Mus musculus: one gene and its partners. The protein of the gene in region 6 binds, or shares a complex with, the protein of the main gene of each other region. Links are inferred from orthologs where the notes say so. Each region holds a gene or a part of one and is shown on either strand. Other genes may lie near its edges. The genes, in order: Snrpd3, Plrg1, Srrm2, Rbm48, Prpf6, Snrpg and Snrpf.

Evidence for each region.
Region 1: Snrpg (region 6) and Snrpd3 share a complex: the UniProt entries of both Homo sapiens proteins name them as parts of the U7 snRNP complex. The link is inferred for Mus musculus from reciprocal best matches to the Homo sapiens genes SNRPG and SNRPD3.
Region 2: Snrpg (region 6) and Plrg1 share a complex: the UniProt entries of both Homo sapiens proteins name them as parts of the minor spliceosome. The link is inferred for Mus musculus from reciprocal best matches to the Homo sapiens genes SNRPG and PLRG1.
Region 3: Snrpg (region 6) and Srrm2 share a complex: the UniProt entries of both Homo sapiens proteins name them as parts of the minor spliceosome. The link is inferred for Mus musculus from reciprocal best matches to the Homo sapiens genes SNRPG and SRRM2.
Region 4: Snrpg (region 6) and Rbm48 share a complex: the UniProt entries of both Homo sapiens proteins name them as parts of the minor spliceosome. The link is inferred for Mus musculus from reciprocal best matches to the Homo sapiens genes SNRPG and RBM48.
Region 5: Snrpg (region 6) and Prpf6 share a complex: the UniProt entries of both Homo sapiens proteins name them as parts of the U4/U6-U5 tri-snRNP complex. The link is inferred for Mus musculus from reciprocal best matches to the Homo sapiens genes SNRPG and PRPF6.
Region 7: Snrpg (region 6) and Snrpf share a complex: the UniProt entries of both Homo sapiens proteins name them as parts of the U7 snRNP complex. The link is inferred for Mus musculus from reciprocal best matches to the Homo sapiens genes SNRPG and SNRPF.

What each region holds. Positions count from the first base shown.
Region 1 is NC_000076.6:75,516,642-75,520,841, reverse strand, and holds the start of Snrpd3 (small nuclear ribonucleoprotein Sm D3), read right to left. Parts: upstream 2,801-4,200; 5' UTR 2,717-2,800; intron 1,529-2,716; 5' UTR 1,508-1,528; coding exon 1,382-1,507; intron 1-1,381. Other genes in the region: protein GUCD1, read left to right, coding at 3,646-3,688. UniProt on the Homo sapiens protein: Plays a role in pre-mRNA splicing as a core component of the spliceosomal U1, U2, U4 and U5 small nuclear ribonucleoproteins (snRNPs), the building blocks of the spliceosome.
Region 2 is NC_000069.6:83,054,171-83,058,337, forward strand, and holds the start of Plrg1 (pleiotropic regulator 1), read left to right. Parts: upstream 1-1,367; 5' UTR 1,368-1,475; coding exon 1,476-1,484; intron 1,485-2,600; coding exon 2,601-2,707; intron 2,708-4,167. UniProt on the Homo sapiens protein: Involved in pre-mRNA splicing as component of the spliceosome. Component of the PRP19-CDC5L complex that forms an integral part of the spliceosome and is required for activating pre-mRNA splicing.
Region 3 is NC_000083.6:23,801,972-23,806,024, forward strand, and holds the start of Srrm2 (serine/arginine repetitive matrix protein 2), read left to right. Parts: upstream 1-1,253; 5' UTR 1,254-1,427; intron 1,428-1,683; exon of another isoform or gene 1,684-2,026; intron 2,027-4,053. UniProt on the Homo sapiens protein: Required for pre-mRNA splicing as component of the spliceosome. As a component of the minor spliceosome, involved in the splicing of U12-type introns in pre-mRNAs.
Region 4 is NC_000071.6:3,593,748-3,598,047, reverse strand, and holds the start of Rbm48 (RNA-binding protein 48), read left to right. Parts: upstream 1-1,500; 5' UTR 1,501-1,530; coding exon of another isoform or gene 1,531-1,659; 5' UTR 1,660-1,845; coding exon 1,846-2,082; intron 2,083-2,602; coding exon 2,603-2,793; intron 2,794-4,300. Other genes in the region: Pex1 (peroxisome biogenesis factor 1), read right to left, coding at 1,531-1,659. UniProt on the Homo sapiens protein: As a component of the minor spliceosome, involved in the splicing of U12-type introns in pre-mRNAs.
Region 5 is NC_000068.7:181,646,319-181,649,818, forward strand, and holds part of Prpf6 (pre-mRNA-processing factor 6), read left to right. Parts: intron 1-970; coding exon 971-1,109; intron 1,110-2,707; coding exon 2,708-2,827; intron 2,828-3,103; coding exon 3,104-3,280; intron 3,281-3,500. UniProt on the Homo sapiens protein: Involved in pre-mRNA splicing as component of the U4/U6-U5 tri-snRNP complex, one of the building blocks of the spliceosome.
Region 6 is NC_000072.6:86,374,540-86,376,970, forward strand, and holds part of Snrpg (small nuclear ribonucleoprotein G), read left to right. Parts: intron 1-1,137; coding exon 1,138-1,160; intron 1,161-1,955; coding exon 1,956-2,080; intron 2,081-2,431. UniProt on the Homo sapiens protein: Plays a role in pre-mRNA splicing as a core component of the spliceosomal U1, U2, U4 and U5 small nuclear ribonucleoproteins (snRNPs), the building blocks of the spliceosome.
Region 7 is NC_000076.6:93,586,859-93,591,081, reverse strand, and holds the start of Snrpf (small nuclear ribonucleoprotein F), read left to right. Parts: upstream 1-1,423; 5' UTR 1,424-1,540; coding exon 1,541-1,543; exon of another isoform or gene 1,544-1,669; intron 1,670-2,958; coding exon 2,959-3,084; intron 3,085-4,223. UniProt on the Homo sapiens protein: Plays a role in pre-mRNA splicing as a core component of the spliceosomal U1, U2, U4 and U5 small nuclear ribonucleoproteins (snRNPs), the building blocks of the spliceosome.

The DNA of each region.
Region 1 (4,200 bases), on a different chromosome or scaffold from region 6:
TCAGGAGACAACAGGTTGGCACCCTCCAGCTGCCACTCTGGGGGACCTGCCAGGGCATTCACGCTGCGACAGCCCTTCCAGCAGGCTGCCAGGGACTGACCACAGCAGAAACATCAGAGCCAGTCCATTACTGGCTCCAGTTACTCCTCTTACTTGGGTGAAACTTCCTCAGCACCATGTTGTAGCCTGAGGCTCCTTTTGCTCACTCTGCCTTCCTTTCCTGGACTGAAGACCCTCCTGCTACGATGATTAATATTACCGACTTGATGGATTTAGAATTACTGAAGGGACAGGCGTGTCTGCGAGGGATTGTCTAGGTTAGGTGGAGGTGAAAAGTAGAAACTGGGCTAAGTCCTGGCACTCATCTCTGCTTCCTGACTGCAGATTCAATGTGACTAGTTAGTACCCTCCTCAAGTTCTTGCCACCATGACTTCTTCTGCATCAGACTGTCTCATCACACTGTGAGTCGAAATAAACTCCCCCTTCCTTAAGTTGCTTTGGTCAGGAATTTGATCACAGCAACAAGCAAAGTAACCAATCACTTCCGCAATCCTGCTCGGTCACTGGCGTCCTTCACGCCACCTCCCCAAAGTCTCTGGTGTATCTAATTCTGGGTTGGCATTTACAGCACAGAGGATCCAAAACAACTCCATCCTCATTTTATTCAGGGGAGAACAAGTGACCAGGATACCCAAGGTCCTATCATTATGGCCCAACTCAATTTGGAATCAGGGAATTCTCTGATTCCAAAGCTCAAGTTCTTAATTAATGGGGAAAACCCCCAAACCATATGCCAAAACTTTGGCAGTTTTATCAGATGAAACTTTCTCCAAGACAAAAGTAAGCACACACAATACGTGAGTAGAAGATCCTGCAAATTATACACTGTGCTGGGAAGCAGACACTGGCTCTGAACCTGACCGACTCTGAGACAGAAAAGTGAAACTTAACTGGTTGTTTTATAGACAAGTACTTAGCAACTGTATTTGGCTAAAGGCTACCTGACAGTAAATATAGACCTAACCCCAGAGAAATCTAGGAAAAGAGATTGTGCTTTCAATTCAGCATTCTGACTCCCTACCAAAAGCAGTGTGGTCTTGCTATAAAGCCCAGACTGGCCTTGAACTCGAGAATCTACCTCAGCCTCTCAAGTGCTCGGATACACACGTACAACCACAGGCTGTCAAATGACTTTTCTGCCTCAAGGCTAAGTCTATACTGACATAAAATCTTAGAGCCTGTAAGAGTGCTTGACAGGTAATAAGTACTTAGTTAATAACTGTTTGATGAGAATAACTTCATTAAGACCTCCAAGTACACCGCTCTACCCACAGGATAGAAGCCACAGCCCTTTCCCAGCCCTGGTGCCAAGCAGGATACCTGACAGTTCATGTTGTCCTCTGCTTCAATGAGCTTCCCTCGGTATACTTCCCCGGTGTTGGTCTCACACGTCACTATGTGGCCTTCAGCCTCGTGCAAGACTTTAATCGGCACACCAATAGACATCTTGGCAGGACTCTTCCCGGGCTACAGGGAAAGAGAGACGATGGTCATCTTTCAGAGCTTAAGGACTGGCACGCCATGGGCTTTGTAAATGATGTCAAGAGCTGCGTTTCCTGTGGAAGGAGTGTGGCTCTTGGCCTCAAGGAACCACCACAGCAAATTAGCGCAACACGTAGGGTAGGGAAGGATGGTAAGCTGGACAATGAAAAGTAATGGGAACAAAGAGTACTACCCCCATTCTCATCCCAGCCATATGACCCTTTATAGTCACTAAAAGGGCTATGATATAGACCCGGAGTGTAAACAAATCACTGTTTACATGGAGTTAAATAAAATGCAAATAAAAGCAAACTCAGTCTTTCAGTCACACCAGAAATATCCCAAGTAGTCAGCCACCACATTTGGATAAAGGCTACAGAACCTAATAGTACATATAGACCTGAGCCCCAAGGAAGCTAGGAAAAAGAGCTTGCGCTTTTCAATCCAGCGTTTTGAATCCCCACCAAAAAGCAGACCAAAACTGTCAAGGCTACGGTGCTATAAATAGGAAATGTTCATCAAGCAGAGAAATAGGGTAAACGCTCGACTTTAAGTCTCACTACAAGACAAAGACTATGCACAGGGCTTTTAAAATGCTGAGATTGGAAACGACTCAAAACCGGAGCACACCATTTATTTGCATGAGAAGACTGTAAGGATGCTAAACACAGTCTCTCTCTCTCGGTGAGGAACCACGGCTTTCAACTTTAGGAGTGTGGGTTTCCATGCTGAAAATGGTAGGGAAACACTGCAGGATGATAGCCAAAGGTTCAAAAAAAAAAGAGTAGCATCTACAAAGTGGATCGAACATATAGCACGGCAACTTGATTAAACTTCTGCAGCAGCGTGGAAAAGAGGGCCACTGCAGGAATGGGAGTGGAGGCAGGGATGAAAGGGACGTTGTAAATGATGATCCAAAAGGAAAGGAGGTAATTAGCAAGAAATGACTGCCCGTAAGCTTCGGAAATCGGTGACCTGAGAAGGCACCGAACGTGCAGACTAGGCGTAAATTAATAACTGTTCAAGGGTTCGGGAGATGAGCTTTGGATAGGCCCTGGCTTCCCGCCCTCCGCTAAGCAAGCCCCGCTGAGCTCCTCCGCAGCGGCCCTTCCAGCTCCTAAACCCCCTGGGGAAGCCCTGGCCTCCTCTCTCCCGTTAGCCGCCTCTCCTCACCAATTAACTGCAGGCTTTATTTTTTTTCCGGTTCTGGCACAAACGTTAGAAGGCGAAGGCGAGAGAACGACCGGCCCGACTCTCACGAATACCACGCGCTCCCAGAATGCCTTGCGCAGGCCCCTCCCTTTCCTTTAAGCCTACTTGCCCTTCACTCTCACTTAGCCGGCTGGGGAAACCAGGGCTCTAGCACAATAGTTCCGGCACCGGAGAGGGCCCGGGGGACCGCCGGAAACACCAATCCTGGAGCCCAACAAGGGAACATGGTAACCCTGAGTACTGTAGTGGCGGATTGGGCGGGATCTGGGCTTGAGCCCAGTGCTCTGGGGAGACAGGAAGTGAGGCTTGGACTAGAGATTTAAGCTTTGGATCCGGCCACCGGCAGGTAAGGGACGCACTGAGCCCTGGGAACTCTCATTATTCCTTGTCTGGGTAAGAAGACCTAAAAGGAGTCGGGAAAGTGTTCCCTGGAGTCTCGATAAGGCACTGCGGAGAACCAGAGCTTCCATCTGAGGCTGCAGAAGAACAGACCTAGCGGAGGGAGAGCGTGGGGAGCCCACGTCGCTAGGGGAAGGGCTTTGGGGGCGGGGCTCGGGGAGGGGCGGGGCTCGGGGAGGGGGAGGGGCCCCCGGAGCGTTTCAGGGAAGGACCTACGGGTAGCGGGTTCTGGAAGGAGAAGTGGGGGTGGAAGGGAAGAGGCGTGGCTTATGGAAGGGGCGGGTTTCCAGCGCCCAGACCTGGAAGGGATTAGGCGTGGCTTGAGGCGGCCTAGCCACCGCCTACCCGGCTCTGAACCGCGGTGGCGGCGGCGGCGGCGGAGGCGGAGGAGGAGGAACTCTGCGCTCACTGGCCGCGCTCGCTGCCCAGCAGAAGTCGCCGCTGCAATCAGCTCCAGGCCGGGGCCATGGGCGCCCTGCGCCATCCGGGTCATGAGGACGGAGGCAGAGGCAGCGGGGCAGCCGCTCGAGCCCGGTCAGTGCCTCTCTTCAGGGCCTTGCCTTCAACCGGGGGAACGGAGGGGGACTCCGCCCTAGAGCCGGGCAGGGTCTGGCCGCGCGCGACCTTGGGTCGTCTGCGGCCTCAGCCCAGCCTGGAGCTTCTAGTGGGTCCTAGCTAGGTGGATATTCCTTCTCATCTCCTGTCCTCCACTTAGGGTCGTTCCTGAGTCTCCTGGGGCTTGAAGCCCAGGGAGTGCTGAGAGCCGTCAAGTGGAAAAGTCCAAGGGGCAAAAAGGCACAACCTTGTCCAGAATCGAATAGCCCTGCTTGAAGCACGTTGGGTGATCCTATTCCCCGGGGAACTGTGGAAAGCCTGAGGCCGAGAAAGAGGGGGAAAGAATGGCTTGAGAGCTCTCAGCAAAGGGGCGGGAAAGAGGGGGAAAAGAATGGCCTGGGAGCACCCAGCAAAGGGAACATCTTTTTCTCAGCGCTTTTTGTCTTGGTACTGTTTTGGTTACTCGCTTACTGGTTCCCTCTGCCCTGAGG
Region 2 (4,167 bases), on a different chromosome or scaffold from region 6:
CATAGCAAACAGAAAAACCCAGGTTCCTATATGAACAGGAGATCTGTGTATGATATGTGTGATTTATGGGTCTCATGACTAGATAATAGGATCACCCAAGCTATTCATTTAAGAAGGAAATTTTCACACGGGTGGCTTAATTCAAGAGCTGTAAGAAGAGTAAAACCTAGTGTGGTTTACCTCAGTAGACTGCCCTTATGAGCCTTGCATAAGCTGTGTTCAGGATGACTAAGGTATCTCACAAGTTTAATGAGAGTTGTCTAGTAGTTATATTAACATAGATACATTAAGGTCTTTCTTACATTTCCTTAGTGTTTTGTGATTTAAAATGTTCTTTTCTATGGCTATTACTATTTCCTTGCAACGTGCACAAACATTAGCCACTTTTACAGAAAATAAGATCCTTTGGCTAAACTCACATTCACATTTAGAAATGACTACTTGCGGGCTACAAAGATGGCGCTGACGTTAAGGCTCAAAACTAAAAAGACTAGAAATGTCCATTTTCAGGTTAAAAACACGACCTTCATGTTTTTAATGAATTAAAATATAAATCGAGCGAGAGCATTGCTGTATCGGCGCTACGTTTCATCCTTCTCAAAGTATTCGCAGTATTCTGAGGACGGTATCCGTGAACTTAACCACAGTTCAGGAAGACGCACAATCTGTGAAAACGCCTTAAGATCGCAAATAGCAACTACATCAATACAGAAAACATTTGAAAACGATCGATCATATAAGCCACAGATTTATTTTTAACCTGGGTAAATCACAAAACCTCAACACTTTAGCGTCAAGCCAAATAAAATAAAACCAACTTAAGTTCTCAACCTTTTTTTTTTTTTTTTTTTAATTGCTTGTTTAAGCTGGACAGTGGTGGCGGCGCACGCCTTTAATCTCTGCACTTGGGAGGCAGAAGCAGGAGGATTTCTGAGTTCGAGGCCAGCCTGGTCTACAGAGTGAGTTCCAGGACAGCCAGGGCTACATAGAGAAACCCTGTCTCGAAAAAAAGAAAAGAAACGAAAAAGTTGCTTGCTTAAAACCTCCAAGTAAGGAGCACCAAGCTTCTGGAAGCAGGTACCGCCCCTAAACGTTAAGGCTGGCGCGCTCCCTTAGCTCCGGCTGAAATCTCCGCCCTCAGGCAGGAGACTCCGCCCAGCTCCGCCGAGACCCGCCCTTCTGCCTGGAGACATCGTTCGTCCCCGCCCAAACCCCGCCCCAGTCCCGCCCAGCGGCTGCCGAAGTCCCGCTCTCCTCCAAGAGGCTCCGCGCAACTCCGCCTAGCTTCCGCCCTCCACCGCTAGACTCCGCCCCTCGACCCCTGCGCGGCGGGTTGCCAATACGCATGTGCGGTTAGCGTCACGTCCGGCGACGGGCCCCAATCTCCGGAAAGAGCTGCCGAATAGTGGCGGCGTTTTCTGCGGCGATTATTTGAGTTCCTTCGCTGCTGGAGGGGTAGACTAAACGGCGGCGACATGGTGGAGGTAAAGTGATGCTTGGGTACTTGGGAGTCGTTTGTCCCTGGAGCTTTGCTTTGCCCACGGAAGTGTAGGATGAAAGTGGTGGGAATCTGGGGAAAGGAACTGTAGTCAAAGCTGGTGGTCTCGGCACGTCGGGGTGGGAGGAAGGCCGATGACATCCCAAGTCCGAGCTTCAGTCGGCGGGAAGCCTGAGGGAATCCTGCAGTCCGTGTGTTGTCGTAGGTACCTGGCCGTCTCCTGGGAGGCGGGGCTTCTGATGTTCCCACCGTGGCTGGGATGCTAGTCCGTGCTGTCTTGTCAGTTCCACTGTTATTTCATCTCTACCGCAGTAGAGGCGTGCGGTTCTTGATTTTGTTTGTTTGTTTGTTCTTGCGTATCCCAAACGTTTCTTACTCCCACCCACTGCGTTCCAGGTCCACTGCAGTCCTCCGAGTCTAGCCTAACATCTTTTGCCCGGACTCATTCAATAACTTCCAGCTGGTCTAAGTGCTTAGGATTAACGAACACATTGCAGGAGTGTAGTTCAGTGCTGCTTTCTGTTCCAGTGTTATAGAGTAAAAATGTTGGTGGTGGCAGAGGTCTAAACCTCACCGACCCTGGAAACCCACACTTCCGCAGCATTCACAACTGCTGCGGTTCTGAGTTATCTGGACACCTTTGCAGTGGGATTTCCCACACTTTCACTGCTTGTACCTCTATTCCGTGTAAGGCTGTCTCCCTCTCTGCTTATCACCTGAGAGAAACCTTTCTTGATTATATCTACCAATTCTCCCCCCACCAACTCATCCCATTGCCTATTTTCATAGAACCCTCCAAAAATGTGGAATTATTTTGCTTATTTTTGTCTGTTGCCTCTTGAGTACACTGCATGCCGCATACAGTACTAGCTCGGTAAATATCTACTGAACACATTGTAGGCATTACTCAGTTACTTTTCTAAGAGCTCTGGCCAGACAGGAGCTTTCTCATCTTCGTTGTTGATTGCTGTAGTTTGTTACAGTTATTGAGGAGTGTATATCCTTCTCCATATTTAGCGTGGAAATTGCATAATGACTCTCATGTCGATTAGGGTGTATGGGTCTCTTGTTAGATGTGTGATTTTTGGCTGTCTCTTTACAGGAGGTACAGAAGCATTCTGTACACACACTGGTGTTCAGGTCATTGAAGAGGACCCATGACATGTTTGTGGCTGATAATGGAAAACCCGTGCCTTTGGATGAAGAGAGGTAAGCTTTATTCCTTTTCAGTTGCTAAAGTATTTAATATTAACAGAAGGGTGCAGAGAGAGGGGAGGAGGGGACTTTGAAAGGTCTTAAAAGTGCATACTCACAGGACGCTTGGGCAATAGCAAGTGGCTTTCTAGTGTAATATAAGTAATGGTAACTCATTTTTCTATTGTCTTGTCTTCTGCAGTAAAAACATCATTACCTAACTATAGTTTACAGGCACCCAGTGTGATGATTTGAAAGAGAATGGCCTCCATAGGCTCATGCGTTTAAATGCTTGCTTGGTCTCTAGTTGGTGGAGCTGTTTTGGAAGTATTAGGAGGTGTGGCCTTGTTAGAGGAGGTGTGGCCTTGGGGAGAAGCTGTGAGATTTCAAAAGCCTACACTATTCCCAGTTAGCTCCCTTATTGCTTGTCTACTCCCTCCCTCTTGTCCAGCCCCCCACCCCCACCCCACACATCATGCTTGCCAATCAGATGTAAGCTCTCGGCTGCTGCTCCAGCACTGTGCTTGCCTGCCTGCTCTCATGCTCCCTACTCTTATGGCCAAGGACTCTATCCTCTTGAGCCATGACCCCCTAGTTAAATACTTTATTTTCTAAATTGCCTCCAGAATGGTGTTTGCCATAGCAATAGAAAAGTAACCAGTACCCAGTAATTAGGGGCATCCCTGCTATGTCATCTTGTTTGTAGTGAATCAGTTTGTGTGTGATTTTAGCTTCTGCTCTCAGACTCTTTGTTTTGTTTTGTTTTGTTTTGTTTTTCGAGACAGGGTTTCTCTGTGCATCCTTGGCTGTCCTGGAACTCACTCTGTAGACCAGGCTGGCCTCGAACTCAGAAATCCGCCTGCCTCTGCCTCCCAAGTGCTGGGATTAAAGGTGTGCGCCACCACTGCCCGGCTTCTGGTCTCAGACTCTTGTTCTGCTGAAATTGTACTTGGCCAGTACTACTCCCATCTTTGCTCCGTGGTGTAGTGAAGAGTTTTGAGTGGCATATTTTTGCTTCTCGCCAGCCCTAGTCTGGGAATTGTGTTATGTGCAGTGCCTTTCTTTGCCCTTTGCTTTTTTTTAATAATCTACTTAATTTCCCTCATTTGCATTCATATTTAATTTATAAGGTAGATTATCTTTTTAAGTAATATAAGTACATTTCTCTTTAAAATGCTGAGCTAGCCAGGCGGTGGTGGCCCACGCCTTTAATCCCAGCACTTGAGAGGCAGAGGCAGGCGGATTTCTGAGTTCGAGGCCAGCCTAGTCTACAGAGTTGAGTTCCGGGACAGCCAGGGCTATACAGAGAAACCCTATCTCGAAAAACCAAAAAGTAAAAATAAATTTAAAAATATAAATAAAATGCTGAGCTAATTTAGTGCTTTCATTGGGTCTAACTTTTTAGACTACTAGTAAAGATATCTATACAATTTAACTATATTCAGACATTTAAAGTTTAAGCTATATTAGTTTGT
Region 3 (4,053 bases), on a different chromosome or scaffold from region 6:
ATATCGGACACCCAAGAACTCATGACAGACCGAGCTTGTTGCAAACCACATGAGGCTTTATTTGGGGAAAGCCAGAGCTCTGGGGACAACTCATATCCCACGCAGGGGTAGAGGAGTCGTCCTCGAGGGGAAAGAGTTTCCAGTTTTTATAGGCCCTCAGGGGGGAAAGGAGAAGGGGGAGATTAGGGGATTTCCAGATCTAAACAATGTCTATTCTCAAGAAATGGGTATGGAGGGGTACAAGGAGAGTCTAATGAAGGTGCAGCAATGAGCACACACCTGGTCAGAACATTGGCAGACACACAGGTTCAAGGAGTGGCCAGAGCATTGTGCACCTCTATTTTTCTAAATCAGTGAAGCTAGTTCTGCTAACACTGACGTCTATCTTGCCAATTTCAGGGCTTCTGTGTCCTTTTACATTCTGCCAGGATCTTTCAGTGCCTCAGTGGTGGGGCCCTTGCTACCGAGTGAGAGGCACTGGGACAAACTCCCGGAACCGTGCTATAGGGCCAGGAAATGGAACTGCATTCTCACATTCCTCCACTTACATGGCATAGTCTCTATAGGCGAAAAGTAATCACTTAGTCTCTTTGCCCAAAGGTAAGAGAAAGTATTTTTTAGTGGTCTGCAAGCCCCACTTCAGATAGGACTACAGAGGTGGAAACTGTGGAAAGCACCGGATACTGGGCCAGAAGCCGGGTTCAAGTGGCTCCAGAGCTGTCAGGTGGCTTGACTCTGAAGCACCTCTTCCTGCGAAGAAGACTCGGTGCTGTGGGGCCTCGTACACATTAAAGAAAACCATGGTCACAGTGACTAGGTAAAGCTGCTGAGCCACTGCCACCCAACACGGTCACATAAAATGGCGACCCTGCCTAGCGGAGGAGTCTTACGCGTTTTCTCTCTAAAACCGAACTACAGCTCCCAGAACTCTGTGCGCGGAAGGCGTGCGTCTGAGCTACTCCCGGGTGTTGTGGGTTGCGGCCCCCGCGCCCCTCCCCCCTCCTACAGAAGTTTTTTTTCAGCCGACCTTGCAGCTTCGGTACGGAGCCACGCCTTTCCCCGCAGTGCCCGACGGGACTCGGGGTTTTTCGACTTTTCAGTAGCACGTCCCTTCGCCTAAGGTCCTCCTTGTGGCTTCAACGCCTGCGCACGACGCACTACGGTTCCCAGAGGGCCCAGCGGCTCTCATGATTGCGTGCTGACGCACTAGGTCGTGCTGACGCGCAACGCTGCCCAGGCGGGGTGCGAGTGGCGCAGTCGAAGCCCGCTGCGGCCCCTGAGGAAGCGAGGAGGCGGCGGCGGCGGCGGCTGAGGCGGGCGGACCGACGAGGCGGCGGCTTCAGGCTCCGAGGGATACGAAAACTTAAGCAGCAGCTGCGGCGGGACCTCCCTGTTTGACAGTCGGCGGCCGGAGGCGGCGGCGGCGGGTGAGAGAAAGGGAGCGCGCTAGCCGGGTGGGGGAGGGGCGGCGGGCTGGGCCGGAGGCTAGAGCGCGGGGAGAACGGCCCAGGCCGCCGCGCGCACGCGTGCTCGTCGCCTCGGCCGGCGCGGTCGCCTTCCCTTCCTCCCCTCCCCCTCCCGCGGTTCCTGGGACGCGCGGCCTTCAACTCCTCCGCCCCTCCCCCACACGGCCGCGGCGCGCGCGGCCGCCTGGTCTCGTCCGCGCGCCCCCGGTGAGACAGCATTGCGCGAGGCTCTGCTTCTCTCCTTTGCTCTACCTGGGGCTGAGGAGGCCGTCGTTCCGCGGTCGTCCTCTTCGGTCTTTTAGGGGGCGGGGAGAGGGCGGCAGCGGAGGTACTTGTCCCCCGCCCGAGCTTCGGACCTGCTGGTACCTCTCCTCGATCGGCTCCGGCGTGGGTCCACGGGCCCTGCTAGGGGCCTGAGAAACGGCCAGAGCCGCCCAGACCGCGGGGCGCCGCGTGGCCCCCTCCCCCCTCCTCGAGGCCGAAAATAAGCTGGGCTGCCCAGTGGGCGGCGGGAGGAGGCCTTGAACTTTCGGAGGCCAGGATTTAAACCGTTCGTCCTCGTTAGTATCAGAGGCTGTGAGTGTGTGCGTGGGGGTGGGGGATCCCCAAGTCTTAAAAAGTGAGGATAATAAAACCGCGAAAGTATTCAGCCTGCGTGTATAAGGAAGACCAATGTGCTCCTTTCAACCCTGTTATTTTATTTCTTTTTTACGGTTTGGTTTTATGAGCTAGGGCCTCTAAATAGTCTTGGTTGGTCTGGCACTAACCGTGTAGATCAGGCTAGCATTGAACTCAAGAAATCTGCCTGCCTCTGTGGGATCAAAGGCATGAGACACCATGTCTGGCTCCTACCCTGGTTTTTGTTTTTTGTTTTTTTTTTCCCCGGAGACAGGGTTTCTCTGGCTGTCCTGGAACTCACTCTGTAGACCAGGCTGGCCTCGAACTCAGAAATCCGTCTGCCTCTGCCTCCACACCCGGCTCCTACCCTGTTTTTAAAAAGGTCTCCTCAAATATTAAAGCTAAGCCTTTTAGAGCTTTTCGATGGGGAAAAAATTCTTGACTTAATAGCCTGGCTTCAGTCAGCCATTACTTGGTGATGACGTTCTTCCTTGCTGTTTCCATCTTACAGTTCTTTTAAGATGTCTCTTAATTGTGGATTCAAAAGGAAACTATTGCCTTTTTCCGTGGGAGTGGGGCCTAGGCCTGGATGTATACTGTAGCTTGTATGTTTCATGGTGCCTATGCAGTCAGTAGTGTCTCAGCTCTGAGTTCTCTGTATTTTTTACTCAGCGTCCTTTTCCTTGATCATTGCTGTTCTCTCGGTCGCTGTTTCTTGAATATCTTAGTTTGCTAATTTTCTACCTCTTTGTATTTTGGCATTCTGATAAGTTTTCCTCCCTTGCCGGCAATTTGTTCTTGGAGAGGCTTGCATGCTTTGGGCTCCTGTTTTAAATACTTCCTGGTTTTGGTAGTTGTGGTTTCCCTTTTAGTGTTTCAAGCATTGTTTTTGGCTGCTGGTATGTAAGTCCCCCCTCCCCCTTTAGCTCGTCTCTGAAAATTCTCCAAAACTGTGACTCTAATACTTTTTGCTTAGCTTTCATTCTTCAGGTAGGGTGTGGGAGGATTTTTGTGTGAAATGGTGAAAATATGAGTGGTTAGAAGGACTGTTAGGTGAGAAAGCAATATAAGCCCTAGATTTAGAGTGAGGAAGGATTGGTTTTTCTTTTTCCAAGACTATCAAGAGTGGTTGTTAGAAGGTACTACAGAAACATTAGAGGGGGGGGGCTGTAAAAAAGGTTTTGCATTTCTTAGATTTAGCCTTATCTCTTACTCTTGTTGTCTCTCCTAGATTTACCTTTCTTGCTTTTAGTTTCCTCTTGTGTTAACTGTTGAGATTGAGTAGGACTTATGTTAGGCTTGAGGATGAAATGGGGCAAAAGTGCATCTGGGTGTTTGCTTTACATTCAGCATCTTCCTTGATTCCCCCCCCCCCCCCCCCGCACTTTGGTGACATGTCCCCATCCCCAGACTAGGATTTTTTTTTTTTGTAGCCATGGTTGTTCTGGAACTTGCTGTATAGACCAGATTGGCCTAGAACTCAAGAGATCCACCTGCCTTGCTTCCCAAGTGCCGGGACTAAAGGCAGTGCCACCAGAACCAGGCAACACACTTCAGTTTGTTTTTTGTTGTTGTTGTTGTTTTTTTTTTTAAACCGGGCATTGATATGGTACTATTTCACCCAGCTCCATCTCTGCTATCTGCTTTTACTAACCTCTGCTTTCCCCTGTGTGTGTGTTTTGATGCTAGTTTTCTTTCCCATGTTTGAGACCCTATTTTGGAGAAAATGTGTTAGAGGAAAAAAGTAAAACATACATAGTTAGAAGGGAATAGGGAATGAGTAATACAGTCCAAAAAACTGGAGCTTGAGAGTTTAGTGATGCTGAGCTTGGAACACCATGAAAAGGTAGAACCTTACAGGAAAACTGTTAAATTGGAGAGTAAAGCAGGACTTAGAAAAACAATGAAGTGTCAGAACAGGGATTGATTGATTGATTGAAAGTCAACACTTTTACATTAAAGGTATGGA
Region 4 (4,300 bases), on a different chromosome or scaffold from region 6:
GTAATTGCTAAAAGCAATGACCTCTCAACAAAAGTCATATTAATACTACACAAAACCAGGACAGGAAGCTGGGCGTGGTGGCGCACGCCTTTAATCCCAGCACTCGGGAGGCAGAGGCAGGCGGATTTCTGAGTTCGAGGCCAGCCTGGTCTACAAAGTGAGTTCCAGGACAGACAGGGCTACACAGAAAAACCCTGTCTCGAAAAAAACAAACAAAACAAAACAAAACAAAACAAAAAACCAGGACAGGAAACCTCATGTGTATCTAGCTCCACCTTTCTATAAACAATAAAGATTAGATATAAGCATGCAAGACTTAATCCAAATGCTTAGTATTTTACTTCTTCACTTCTCAAATAATAATAAAAATAATAATAAAGACCAAGACTATGTAATTCCTAAACAGTGATGAATCCAAGGAAGCAACAACATGTCAGGTTCAAATTCTTAGCGACCATAAGGAAGCATTTTTCTAAACTCATGGGGTGGTAAGCTTAATTTGAGATTTGAAAATACACTGAAAAATCCCCATCAGAAATGACAGGGAATAATGATCCAAGCTGGGATTTGGTAACAGTGAATGATTCCTTTCAGTCACCAGAAAGCAAACCAGAGAGTTAGAGAATATTTGGTGGAGATAAACTAACAGTAAGAATGGTTCTGATGAAATTGGTGTGTTCTGATAGGTGGACTGTAAAAGCAAGATAAATGTAGCAAAGAGGAAATAAAGGTAGAATACTTGAAGTCATTTCAAACTCTTGTATATTTTTTTTATGACCCAGTGTTCAGGTACCATGCATCTAGGATTTTAGATTTCAAATACTCTAACCCCATGAATACACTCAAACTAAGAGAGTCTATTTCTGCTCACTCTTAGGAAAATATGGATGCTGTATTTCCACCGATGGTTAATAGCCTTGAAACACCATAATGACAGAATCCAGACAGCTCGCTGAGGTCCAAGTAATCCTAGCTACCGAGGTGAAAGTGTGGGGTGTGAATAATTCCATCACCTTGTCACCCCGCCCCACCTCCCTCGCCGCACATATTCTTGCTATGTTCGAAGTCCTCCGGAGCAGGGAGAGCTATCTATCCTTTTATTAACCTTTCGCACAGGTTGGAAACCTTGGTAATCTACAAACCAAGTCTGCCACTCAACACCTCTATCGCTGCACCGGCAACTCGTTGGCAGGATAATGCTTTAGCAACCTGTAAGCAAACCTGTAAGAGCTCTCTAGAACTTTCCATCCTTGAGTGAGGGCCGCTTCTGACTGCTGGGGCAGAACCCTTGCATGCTCAGCTTGCTTTAACCGAGTTAAAGGGGTGCACTAGGAATTCCACGGTAGGGTCTGAGGATACACTAGCCGTGGTGTGGATGCACACGCTGCCACTCCACGCCATGCCCGCAGGGGGCCCTCGCTCACGCCTCAGCTCGGGGTCGGTGGCAGACGATGTCCCTGCAGGAAAAGGTGTCAGCTGACCCTAGTCCCACGAGACGTCAGTGGTGTCCGCGTCCCGCCAGCGCGTTACCTGCAGCAGGTGAAGCTGGGCCACGAGGCGCCGCGGCAGATGCAGGAAGCAGTCCCGAGCATTCGTGAAGGCCACCGTCACGACCGCCCCACCAGACCCCGCACCCGCTAAGCGATCGCTGCTCCACATTGTCCCAAGGTTCAACTCTCACCGGAGAGCGGAGTCCACCGGCTTCTCGTCAGGTGAGAGCGTCGGAACCCGAGAACATCGATCAGGCCCGCCCCCCTCTTCCCACGCCCGGCCGCTGTCACCCTCGGGCCACCTCCGAAGCTCTAGGGGGCGGCACGTCGCTCGTCGAATTCTCGCTCTCAGGAGATGATCGTCGATGGGGTCGATCCTTCAGCCAATCCTAGCACGCCTGGTCCATCCTGCTCTCTTATTGGACTCAGAGGAGCGCGGCTGGCGGATGTTGTTCTGGCGCGGGGGACTAGAGCCGGCAAGATGGCATCCAGTGACGGGAAACCTGGTGGCGTATTCGATCACCACGTCCAGACGGCTGTGTGTGACTCGCGGGCCAAATACCGGGAGGGCCGACGCCCTCGCGCGGTCAAGGTAGAGTGACTCGGATTCTTCTCTCCCCTCGGCAGGGACACTAAATTCCTGTGAGCACTAGCTCCCCAAGGCCTGCCTCCATAAAGGCATGGCAGGGATGTTGTGAGATCCATCTCTAAGTGGAGGGGGCACGAAGAACCCGGGCCCCGGTACCAAAGGTTATCACTACCCTCGGTTAGCTGCTTACCAAACCTCCAACCCACTATTTTTAGCTTTGTATCCTATGTGTTTACAATAGCGCTTCTCACAGGGCAAGCCCAGGGTGAGTGAGTGTTCAGTGGCTGTTTACATTAACCTCTCTGGAGTCAGCTTTTGGAAAAGACGTCTGTTAAGTGGTTTAGTCAGATACCCTTATGTGGAGTGTGGTAGTCTTTAGGCAGAAGAGTGACAGTTTAGTGTGTATGTTTTGCAGACCGGATTGTTTCTTGTTTTCAAAGCTCCATTTAAAAGGGGGTGGGAGGACCGATTTGCCATAGGCTTGTTTGAAGAGTACATTTAACGAGGTCTCCTTTGACTTTAGGTATATACAATCAATTTGGAGTCTCAGTACTTACTAATACAAGGAGTTCCTGCAGTGGGAGCCATGAAGGAATTAGTTGAGCGTTTTGCTCTGTATGGTGCGATTGAACAGTATAACGCTCTAGATGAATACCCAGCGGAAGATTTTACAGAAGTTTATCTCATTAAATTTGTGAAATTACAGAGTGCAAGGTATGTACAAGTTAAGCAGAACTCCTGTTAAAATCTTATTCCTGTTGCTGTCATTTTGGCCCCAACTGTTTCCCAAATGTACCCAAAGCACAGAAGCACTTCTTGCTCTCAGTCTTCCTGATTGGGGGGAGGAGGGGAGGGGACAGGGTTTATTTGGATAGCCTTAGCTGTGCTAGAATTAGTTCTGTAGACCAGGCTGGCCTTGAACTCAAAGATCCCTTTGCCTTTGCCTCTGACTCTCGAGTGCTGGGTTTAAAGGTATGCACCACTCCACCTCGCCTTCCAGTTTGTTTTTCACCAGGCCTCACATCTGCGACTTAATCACTCTAACAGTGAGTGACATCCCAGCTCTTCCTTCAAGCTTTTAAAAGGCTGACTTTACAACAATACTCTTCCCATCCTCTCATACCTGTGCTTGGCAAATTTTGAACCTGTAGTGTGGTAGATTAAGAATTACGTTTGAAGTAAATTATCAGTCCTGTGGATTCATGACTGTGGAGAATTTTAGTCCTCCAAGCAAATTTTTGTTCTTTTCCTAAAATCCATATGGCAAAAAGGACTACTTCTTGAGGTTCACTGAGCAAGGATGAAATGGGACAATTTATGTAAAGGGAGTAGACTGGTACCTCCTATTAAGAGGAAATAGTAGAGCCGGGCAGAGGTGGCACATGCCTGTAATCCTAGCACCAGGGAGGCAGAAGCAGGTGGACCTCTTGAGGTGGAGCCAGCCTTGTCTACAGAGTGAGTTCCAGGAGAGCCAGGGCTACACAGAGAAAACCCTGTTTCCAAAAAACAAGCAAACAAACAAAAAGTAACTATTAGTAATGACAGTTCTTATTTGTATAGTTCTATGTTAATCAACTTTGTATTCCAATAAGGAATGCTTTATTTTATGTTAACCCCTTTTGGCGGGGGGGGGGGGGGGTGCATGTGTGTGCATATTCCTGTGTGTGTATGTGTGTGTGTGTGTATGTGAGTGAACACTAGCCTGAAACTGGCTGTGTAGACCAGCTGACCTAGAACTCAAAACTTCCTCCAGACTCTGCCTACCCATCTCCACCAGGTTCAAAGGCTTGTGTGCACTACAGTGTACTCTATCCTATTTTTTGAGGTTGGGCCCCTCCCTCACTGAGCTCATTGGCTAGATTGGTGACTGTCAAACTCAGTGATCCTTCTATCTCTACCCTGTGAGCACTGGAATTACAGGCACAGTGCGGTGCCTGGCTTTCACGTGCATGCCAGGGGTCTGAGCCAAGGCACTCCAGCAAGGGCTTTTCCACCGGAGCAGCCTTCCTAGCTCATGTTAGCCATTTTTTCATTTTAATCACTAACCTTATCTAAACCATATCTTTTTCTGGCTTTTGCTATTCATAAACTTTTTTTTTTTTTTTGGTATGGAAAAAGACTTCAAATCCCCTGGAGCTGAAGTTACAGGTGGTTGTGAACCACCCAAGATGGATGCTGGGATTTGACTCTGCTCTTCTCAAAGATCAGCAAGTGCTCTTTT
Region 5 (3,500 bases), on a different chromosome or scaffold from region 6:
AGTTCTTTATGAAAGGACCCTTAGGATTTACTCTGTAGAATGTCACTTGGTAGTCATGACTTGTGGCCTTAGTGTATGCTGCTGCCTACTCACATGTTTCAATGGTTAGCTCCCTCCCACAACCTATTCTTTCTTTGCGGCTAGCTCTCAGACTGATGTGGAAAGTCATCAAGACTTGGGCCCAGGGGCTGGCGAGATGGCTCAGTGGTTAAGAGCGCCGACTGCTCTTCCAAAGGTCCCGAGTTCAAATCCCAGCAACCACATGGTGGCTCACAACCATCCATAACAAAATCTGATGCCCTCTTATGGAGTATCTAAGGACAGCTACAGTGTACTTACATATAATAAATAAATAAATCTTTAAAAAAACAAAACAAAACACTTGGGCCCAGGGCTCTGGGGAACATGGTGGTGTTTCTGTATGATACGGATTTGCATATCCTTCGGTTTGCTCGTGAACATGAGGGCACGTGGGGTTCATCAGTGAAGGTGCTATGACCCACAGGTAGTGGTGGCCAGAGATGACCCAGAGACTTCATACCCAGTATCCAAGGCTGACAAATATTCTAGTTCAGTAATGTCCTTAAATCACTCTCAATGAGACCTTTTTTGGGGGAGGGAGACAGGGTTAGGGACCTTAATCTTTATTAGTGTATCCAGGGTATCCTCTGAGCTTCAAGATAAAAAGGCCTTCACTGTCACCAGACTGCCATGTTATCAGTGCCCAGGATACATGGCTATAAAAGGCTCTGCTGTTTAAACAATGCTTTGCTTTATAGAGCACTCTTCAGTAGTTGATTTTAGATTCTTTGTTGGAAGGAAAGATTTCCCCACACTCTCCCCATCGTAAAATCTTGTAAATCATTAATAGTACCGAACTTTGGAGTGGTAACTGTCTTTTCAGCATCTTAGTAGCTATATGCCCTGATTTATGGCCCTAGCTCTAGTGACCATGTCCTCTATCTTTCAGGGAGTCTCTGGAAGCACTCTTGCAGAGGGCTGTAGCCCACTGCCCCAAGGCAGAGGTGCTATGGCTCATGGGTGCCAAGTCAAAGTGGCTGGCAGGGGATGTACCTGCAGCAAGGAGCATCCTGGCCCTGGCCTTTCAGGTAGGTGAAGGATACCTGCCCTGGAAGGGGCTATGAACACAAACTCAGATTTGGTGCTACTGTAGCCTCAGAATTTATTCTATACAAATTTTTTAGGATATGCCATGGTCTAGTCTAGAGACACTAAATTATGTGCATGGCCTGATTTATGGGGTCAAAGCATGAAGAACACCCCAATCAGGAACATTGACCTCTTAGTCATACTTAGTATGACTGTAGGCTAAGTATTCTAGAGTACAAGGGCAAAGCACAAGCTGCCAGGGTATTTTAGTACCTCTTTGAGAGTGGGACCAAATTAAAACAGTCGTACTTACCTGGACTGACTAGGTTTGCTGTTACAACATGTATCGTGTGTATGTGGCAGGCATGGTAACTGTGTATATGTGTGTGGGGGTGTGTGTGTGGGTTGTGTGTGTGTACGTACTAGAGGTCAGCCTAGAGTATCTTCCTCTATTGCCTTCCTCTTGTTGTTCATTTATTTTAAGGGCAGGATCCTTCACTGAGCCCGGAGCTTAGAGCTTAGAGCCAGTTTGGTTTATCTCACATCAGCTGTCTTTAGAACCCGTCTGTCTCCACTCTCCAGCACGGGGTTACACATATGCATTGCCATGCCTGACGTTTACCCACTGACATTGCCCAGTAAGCACTTTACCCACTGAGATATCTCCCCAGTCAACATATAACATTCGAAAAATATTTCTATCAAAAAAAATCCTAATATTTTATCATAACATAGGTGTTAGATTATTTTAATAAGTTATAGGATGCTATATAAATATCAGTCTAGTATCATAGCCTAAGGTCACAGTAAAGTTTGTTCTTGTGAGACAACAGAAACATCAGAAAAAGAGCTAACTTGGGTCAATCTTTTGCTCCAGCTGTCACTTGGAAAGGACAGAGGAGCAAGTGGTAGTGCTGTGCAGAGAGATAGTGCTGTGCAGAGTGATTGATGTTTTTCCCACATACAGTTTTCTCGTCTAGTTGCATGCCAAAGCTCTAAGATGGTTGGTTCTCCTTTCCCATAACAGTAGGCAGCATGGCCATGTAGCAGAAGTCCCAGAGGAAGGTGGATACAAGTTCTGAGTGCACCACTTTTACGTCTCCTGGACTGTGTGTTTGTGTGGCTTGGCCCATGCCTTTGGGAGCCCTTTACACGTCATTATCTGCACCTTGAACATCTTTCTACCCTGACCATATGGTGTGGCTAGCCAAGGGGAAGGGATTAAGTTAGACAGAGCAGCTCCTAACACAAGGCATGCGTTTTAGAGGCTGTGTAGAATTTAGACGGATTCTAGAGAGGGCGGCTCTACAGCTCTAGCATTGTTGCTTCATCTGTACAAGAGTAAAAACAAATGTGAAGTTTTAGGTTTTTTGTGTTTTTGTTTTGTTTTGTTTTTCCTTCAGGTAAGCTTGGGTCCTGGCTGAGGTCTACCCAGTCATCCCCTAGTTTGTAGCTTGTGCAGGAGTGTACTAATACTAGTCATGCATCAGGGAGAGGGCCAGCTCAGTTTTGAGGCTGCCTGTTTTTGATTAAGCATAATCTAGCCTTGGTCACTTCTGTGATGAGCCTTTCTGATGCAGCTGTGTTTGTTCTCCAGGCCAACCCCAACAGCGAAGAGATCTGGTTGGCGGCTGTGAAGCTGGAGTCAGAGAACAATGAATACGAGCGAGCCCGGAGGCTACTGGCCAAGGCTCGGAGCAGCGCACCCACTGCCCGTGTGAGTGGTGACTGGTGGGTTAGGGAGAGTTGGCAGGGTGCCTCTTGGCTCCCGCATGGCGTTTGGAAGGAGACAGATGAGTGGCACAGCTTAGACCCCAGCCCTGTCTTGGTATTGGCTTTAACATGCATCCCTTTATTTATCTATACCTTTTGTATTTGCAGAAGAGCTAATACAAAAACGGATGAGGCCCAGGACAGATGTGTGAAGATGTCTGTGACTTCAAGCATATGATGGGAAGTGTCCCTCATGTGACAGTGCTGTTCTGCTTTGCAGGTATTCATGAAGTCTGTGAAGCTGGAGTGGGTTCTGGGGAACATCTCTGCGGCGCAGGAGCTGTGTGAGGAGGCTCTGAGGCACTATGAAGATTTCCCCAAGCTGTGGATGATGAAGGGGCAGATTGAGGAGCAGGGAGAACTGATGGAGAAGGCCCGGGAGGCCTACAACCAGGGGGTAAGCCTCTGTCAAGGTATCCCAGGGAACCCGGCAGCATGACATGGCAGCAGTCATTCCCACGCTGGGAAAGAAGTGGAGGGCCAGTGGTCGGGGATAGAACTTTGTGCTTGGAATTGAGCCTTTGTTCTTCCTGTCACTGTGGGTACTGTGTTTTTTTCCTACAAAGTTGCACACCCTGTGTTTGGGATATATAGGGTTTGTTCAGTACATCAAAAGT
Region 6 (2,431 bases):
CTCTGGGACCACATGGTTGAAGGAGAGAACCAACTCCTTGAAGTTGTCCTCTGACTTCTGTATTGGCACCATACAAACAAATTTAATTTTTTTAAACATTTATTTTATTTATTATATTCTACCTACATGTATGCCTGCATGACAGAAGAGGATGCCAAATCCCCATTACAGATGGTTGTGAGACACCATATGGTTGCTGGGAATTGAACTCAGGACCTCTGGAAGAGCAGTCAGTGCACTCAACCTCTGAGCTATCTCTCTAATCTCTGTAATAACAGAGATCTCTGTAATAACACACACAAATGTAACCAAATCTTTGTAATTACATTAGTGTAAGTTCCCTAGCCCATGTCAACAGTTCCGGATTTGAGGCTGGGAAGATAACTTGGCAGTTAAGGGACCTGAGTTCAGTTCCCAGCATCTGCACTGGGCAAATCACAACTGCCTATGGCAGCTTTAGGGTATCTGATGACAACTGCCCTGGTACACACACACTCATATCCAAACAGTACAAGATCCTTACTGCTTTAAATGTTATGTGTCTGGGGTACAAATTGTAGGTTTGGTTTGGTTTGGATTTTTACATTGGTTGTGTAAGTGTGTACATATGCCAGGTATGGAAGTCAGGACATCTTAAAGAATTCATTCTCTGCTTCCAGCAGTGAGTTCTGGGAATCAAAATCAGACTTGGCAGCAAATGTTCTTACCCACTGAGTCATCTCACCAGCCCAGATTTTAGCAATTTAAGAAAAGGAAAAAGACTTAACTTTGCCTGGTGGCACACCTTTAATTTTCCACACTGGGGAGTTGAAGGCCAGCCTGGTCTACACAGTGAGTTCCAGGATAGCCAGGGCTACATAGAAAAACCCTATGTCTCAAAAAGACATTTTATTTTGTATGTGAGGGTGTGTGCATTTGAGTGTAGGTGCCCTGGGGTACCCTCAAGCTAAAGTTGCAGGAGGTGGTGAGTCACCTGACATGGATATTAGAAAGAGATCTCAGGCCCTCTGGAGGAACATCGAACCCTCCTAACATCTCATCCCAGCCCAAGCAAATCACTTTAATTTTACTGATTCTGTGCTTGTTTGTGCTTAGAACTTTTTACATAAGTCCTAATTTTTGCTCTTGCTTTTCCAGGTTTATGGACAAGAAGTTATCATGTAAGTTTGCATCCACCTCAGCTAACTACTTGGTTTCTTTTTGTTGTCTTGGCAATATGTAATCTTTGGAAATGTGTTATAGAAATTTAATATATAAGACATCTAATTCTTCTCCACTAATCAGATTTGTCAGAGTTCTAATTAGACTTTTTTTCTTTGCCTTCTAATTGCATTATCTTTAATTACATTATCTGTGCCTCCCTGGCCTTGAATTAGCAGTGTCCTACGTTATAATATTTAAAACTTTATCAGCCCCTTTCCTTTAAATATGTTACCAGGGAGTTGGACAAGCAGCACTTGATGTTTCTTGTGGATGTGTAGGTTTAACTAGAAACCTCCTGACCCATGCAATTGAAGTATACTGAAATTTTAGGATTTCTCTTCTCTACCATTCAACAGCTCTAAACTCTTGTAACTGGTTCATTTGTGTAAAGATACTACTTTACGTATAAATTTACTTACAAATACATTTATGTATAAATGTTGAGGCGGTTTTACTTGGGGGGGGGGGGACAGTCATTGAGACCAGATCTCGTTATGTGACCCTGTCTGGTCTCACAGTCCTCTTGAAGCAGCCCTCCTCTGTTGTTGCCAAGTGCTGGGATTACAGCCATGAGACTCACAGGTAATGTCTCCAGGGTCTTAAAGGCTAAGATATAGGCAAAGAAGAACTGGAATATTAGGATAGAATTAGCCCATGGTTAGGCAGATAGTAGGAGTGGTGGTCACACATCCCACCTGATCTATGATGGATGGTTGAACTTGGTTTACTGAGACTTCTTCTTTCTCTTACAGTGAAGTTAAACGGTGGCAGGCATGTCCAAGGAATACTGCGGGGCTTTGATCCCTTTATGAACCTTGTGATTGACGAGTGTGTGGAGATGGCAACCAGTGGGCAACAGAACAACATTGGCATGGTGGTGAGTAAGGGCAGCATCTCCAGGGTCTTCTCCTCCCTCCTTCACATTCCTCATATCAAAGTCTCAGATTAAAACCAAGTTAGTTACCGAGGAAAGGTAAATGAAAGGGAAGACTGGGCATTTGCACCTCCCCCTTCCTTTTACCTGTGGACACACCCAGCTGTGGTACTATTCCAGGTACCTACAGACAAGCTCTCACCTGCAGGACCCTCTCAGCACAGGTCTTGGAACAGCTAGCTGAAGGGATTTATTTTTGAGCTTTGCCCTGTAAGAGATGGGCACGCATATGCAGACTTTGACTACAGTACAAATTCTCTAGCATGCTTTTGATGCCCCAGGATATCTTGTTAA
Region 7 (4,223 bases), on a different chromosome or scaffold from region 6:
CTGTCTTGGTTTTATTACGTATCTCTCCTTGTGCATTTTACTCTTGGTCCTTTGCAGAATACGGAAGACAGCTCAATACAAGGAGAAAAATACTAACATGAATCTGTCTGAGTCTAATTCCCAGTATTTCATCACCTACAGTATTAAATTAGAAGTTGGACTAGGTATCCCCAGGATTGTGAGTTTAAGATTTATAAATTTGTCAATGCTGACTGAATAAGTAGAGCATATTTGAGTGTCAGGAACAGTAATTATTCTTCCATTACCATGGGAAAAAAATCCGAGCTAAGATTTCGGTCTGATCAAAATGTATCTGAGATTAGCAGCATCATTTTTAAAATTTTCTTTATCATGTTTTGTCTGCATGTGCGCATGTGCACCGCGGGAGGGCCTGGCACCCACAGAAGTCAAAAGAGAGAGATGGGTCCCCGGCACATGAAACTTTGGATGGTTGTGAGTCACCACCATGTGGGGATGGGATTCGAACCCAGGTCTTTTCACGTGCGAAAAGCGCTCTTCTCCATTGAGCCAACACCCCCAGAATGTGTTGGCATACTTTAATAATATAAACGACAGTCTTTAGGCTTAGGCCTGGGCCAATCTCGAATCTCGAGTTATTTGGGGAATCCATGCCAAAAAAACAAAACAAACAAACAAACAAAAAACCGTTCAGGTTCATATAGGGTTAGATCTCCCGAAAAAGAAAAAAGTACTCTTTTTACACGGGTTTCATATCACAGGTGAAGCGATACTGAAATGTTGAGATTATGGGGAAATTAAACGGGGTTCTGATCGATAACTTTCCATCAGAGCGATTAACCTGTGGTAGCGTCAATAATTCCCCACATCCTATTCACAAACACACGTAAACGGACCTCCTTTGGCCTCTGGTTCTGGGAATGCTTAGACATCAGAACGACAAGAGGCCACCACATTATCCGAGACTTAACTTGACCTGGTTTCAACTGTTGTAAAGCCCCACTTGAGTGCTTTTCACTAGCACTCACGTAGTCTTGCTACCCCAGCTTCCTTTAAAAACCCGCAAGTGGACGGACATTCTGTAATAAAGAACAGTCCCATAAAAGGGGGGCCGTGCCAGAGGTGTTCCCCAAGTGCTGGATCTATGGGAGGATGACCTCCAGAACCCGATCTCGTTCTTTCAGCTGAAGGACAGACTAAACCTTCTTTAGCTAAAGAAACCAAGTCCGTTCGCCAGGGCACTTAGCTTCCCCTTGTCCCGAAGCAAAGACATTGGGGTCGCTCAATCGTTCCCACTTCGAACTTGAGCAGTGGACACAAACACACGCTTACCTGGTTGCTAGGAAACAGTACCGCCATCCCCTCCAATCAGTAAACACGTCTTTGGTGGCCAATCACAGAAGCCGAGACAACGCGGCGTGAGGTGAAAGGTCAGGCCGCTTTTGTCGGCCATTTCTCTTAGCGCGGGTCGCTTGGTTGTAGCGGCAGCCGCTCCGGTCACGAGGGGCGGGCAGCGGCGGAGTCGGCGGCTAGCGGGGTGCAGCGCTCGCCGGTGGTCGCGATGGTAAGGACGATGAGCGCCGCGGGGGCTGGAGGACGGGCGGCCTCGCGGGGCCCGCCGCCCCCTGCGCCTCCCATTCATCCCCACGAGGCGCCGCGCGGCTGGCCGCTCGCTCCTGCTCCCGACGTCGGAGGCCTTGGCGGCGCGCGCGCGGAAGCCCTTCCCCTCCCCGAGATCCCCAGCCACCTTTCCGCGTGTTGTTTGTCCCGGAGCCTGAGGTGTAGCCTAGTTTGGGCTCACAGGGTAGGGGTAAACCGAAGCGAGTTTTCCATTTCTACCTAGCACGCTCCGCAGTGCGCCATTTATTCCTTGCTGTTGACAATTTTAGCAGATTGTCCTCTGGCGCAGAAAACCCCGGCTACCCTTCCACTCATTTAATACTGATCTTAGGCGCCAGGAAGATGGGGTGGTAAGGTAGACTCTGCGTTTTCTTAGGAGTGGGAGGTAGGCAGCCGTCAAATAATAACAACAAAATAAGCAATTACAAGTAGCGGTGATTGTTAAGCAGGGAGCTGATAGGATGCTCTGAGAGGTGCACTGCCTAGTTATAACGCAGTGGAGGAGCGCTCTTCTCCAGAAGGTGTCAAATAACCAGACATCCAGGTCACAGAGCAGGTGGAAGAGTATTTCTTGCGCGAGTTCCAAGTAGAAAGTAGGTTTGACCAGTTGGAATTGACAAGAATTGACCGCTGCTTGCAAGAATGATGGTTTTAAAATACAGCCTGGGACCTTAACGCCTCCTAGGAAATATGAGGCTCTGTCAAGTGCAGTTAGAGACCATTGGAGCATTCTTTTAAGTCACAATAGTACATGACTTGATAAGTGGTTTGTGGATGATAAATTATAGGCAGCGTAAATTGGCTACTCATTTAGACCCTGTGCTCTCCAAGATTCTTTGGGATGGTGTGTGAGTGGAATGGAGTATGGGGGTGGTTATGAATTTAAAGGGAATAATACTTCTTGATTTAGCATTAAGAGGCCCTCTCACTGACGATATTGAGCTTTTTTTTTTTTTTTAATGTCTGCAGAGACCACCCTGTACCTTTATTTTGATTCCTTTAGAGCTTGGATAATGTAGGTATTTGGGGCTTTTGTCCATTCGGCAGTGCTCAAAATGGAACTAGTGACCTAAGTATCCTAGGGCAGTGCCCTGTCATTGTGTTACACACTTGCCCCACTCCCATCTGTCATTCGACATTTAATTGCATAATTCATATTTTCGTTTCTGTCAGTGGACTATGAAGTTGGCTAAATGGGTACTTAAATTTCTCTCAGACACCCTCCAGCAAATTATAAAGTGATGGTGGATCGGAGTTTACCCTGTGTCATAAAGTCTTGACTGGTGTCTCAGTAGAGAGTGGGTGGTGGAAGCTGAGGTAAGCAAAAATTATTGAGTGCTGCCTTTGGTTTTTATACAGAGTCTACCCCTCAACCCCAAGCCCTTTCTCAATGGGCTGACAGGGAAGCCAGTGATGGTGAAACTTAAGTGGGGCATGGAGTACAAGGGCTACCTGGTCTCCGTGGATGGCTACATGAACATGCAGGTATGCTGAGGAGGAGGAGCATGGGTGAGGAGCAGGAAACCAGGTTTCTACTGTGTCACCTTACTCCTCAAAGGTTTACTGAGACTGGTGGGAATGCGCACAGATTGACAATAGAAAGTGGAGTCGAGATTAAAGTATGAACCAGGGAGGAGGTTGAACCATGATGTTCTTAGGAGTACTTACACCAGAACACAGAGCTTTGACATTTGGTCTCTAAAGCAGAAGGGAAAACTAGTTTATTACAGAAAACAATGATTCAGCCTGTCTTTTTCTAAGACGTGTCTGTATAGGCGATTAGCACTATGATGCAGTGGCATTAGTACTCAAATGGAACTCTGTACCCATTAAATAGTTCTGTTACCACCTGTAATCCACCTGTAATCCAGCCCTATGATTAAGAGTGGGACTGTCTCTCATGTAAGTGGAATGTATTATAAATTCAGCTAACTTCAGATCAAAAATTCTTAAGAGAAATTATATCTTATGTTCGAGGTACACAGTCCTTTTGCTTTCTCCACTGTACTAGGCTATGATCAGTCTAGAAATTAGAAGGACATTAGGTTCTATGCAGATGCTCAGCTATTTGAAACAAGGAGCTCCAACACCCTTGGTCCTAGAGGCCCTGGAACAAAGCCCCATAAATGCCCTGGGGTAGGCTTTTTGTCCTTTTGTCTGGTTTGATTATAGCTTCAGGATTCATTGATAGAAGTTACTGCTTTTCAGGACTGAATAATATCCCGTTATATAGCTATAACGCATTTTTACAGTCTATTATGTTTGTTTGGTTTTTTTAAAACATTATTTTATGTGAGTACACTGTCACTTTCTTAAGACACACCAGAAGAGGGAATTGGATTCCATTACAAATAGTTGTGAGCTACCGTGTGGTTGCTGGGAATTGAACACAGGGTCTCTGGAAGAACAGTCACTCTTAACTGCTGAGCCATCTCTCCAGCCCCATCTGTCCAGTTTCTTGTAGGGATCAAGCCCAGACCTCTGTACATGCTGACCAGCAGTCTGCCACTAAGCTACATTCTCAACCTGTTCATTCATTTTGATTTCTAGTTTTTAATTTTATTTTATGGATGTCTTGTCAGTGTACTATGTATATGCCTGCTGCCCATCAAAGTCAGACAAGG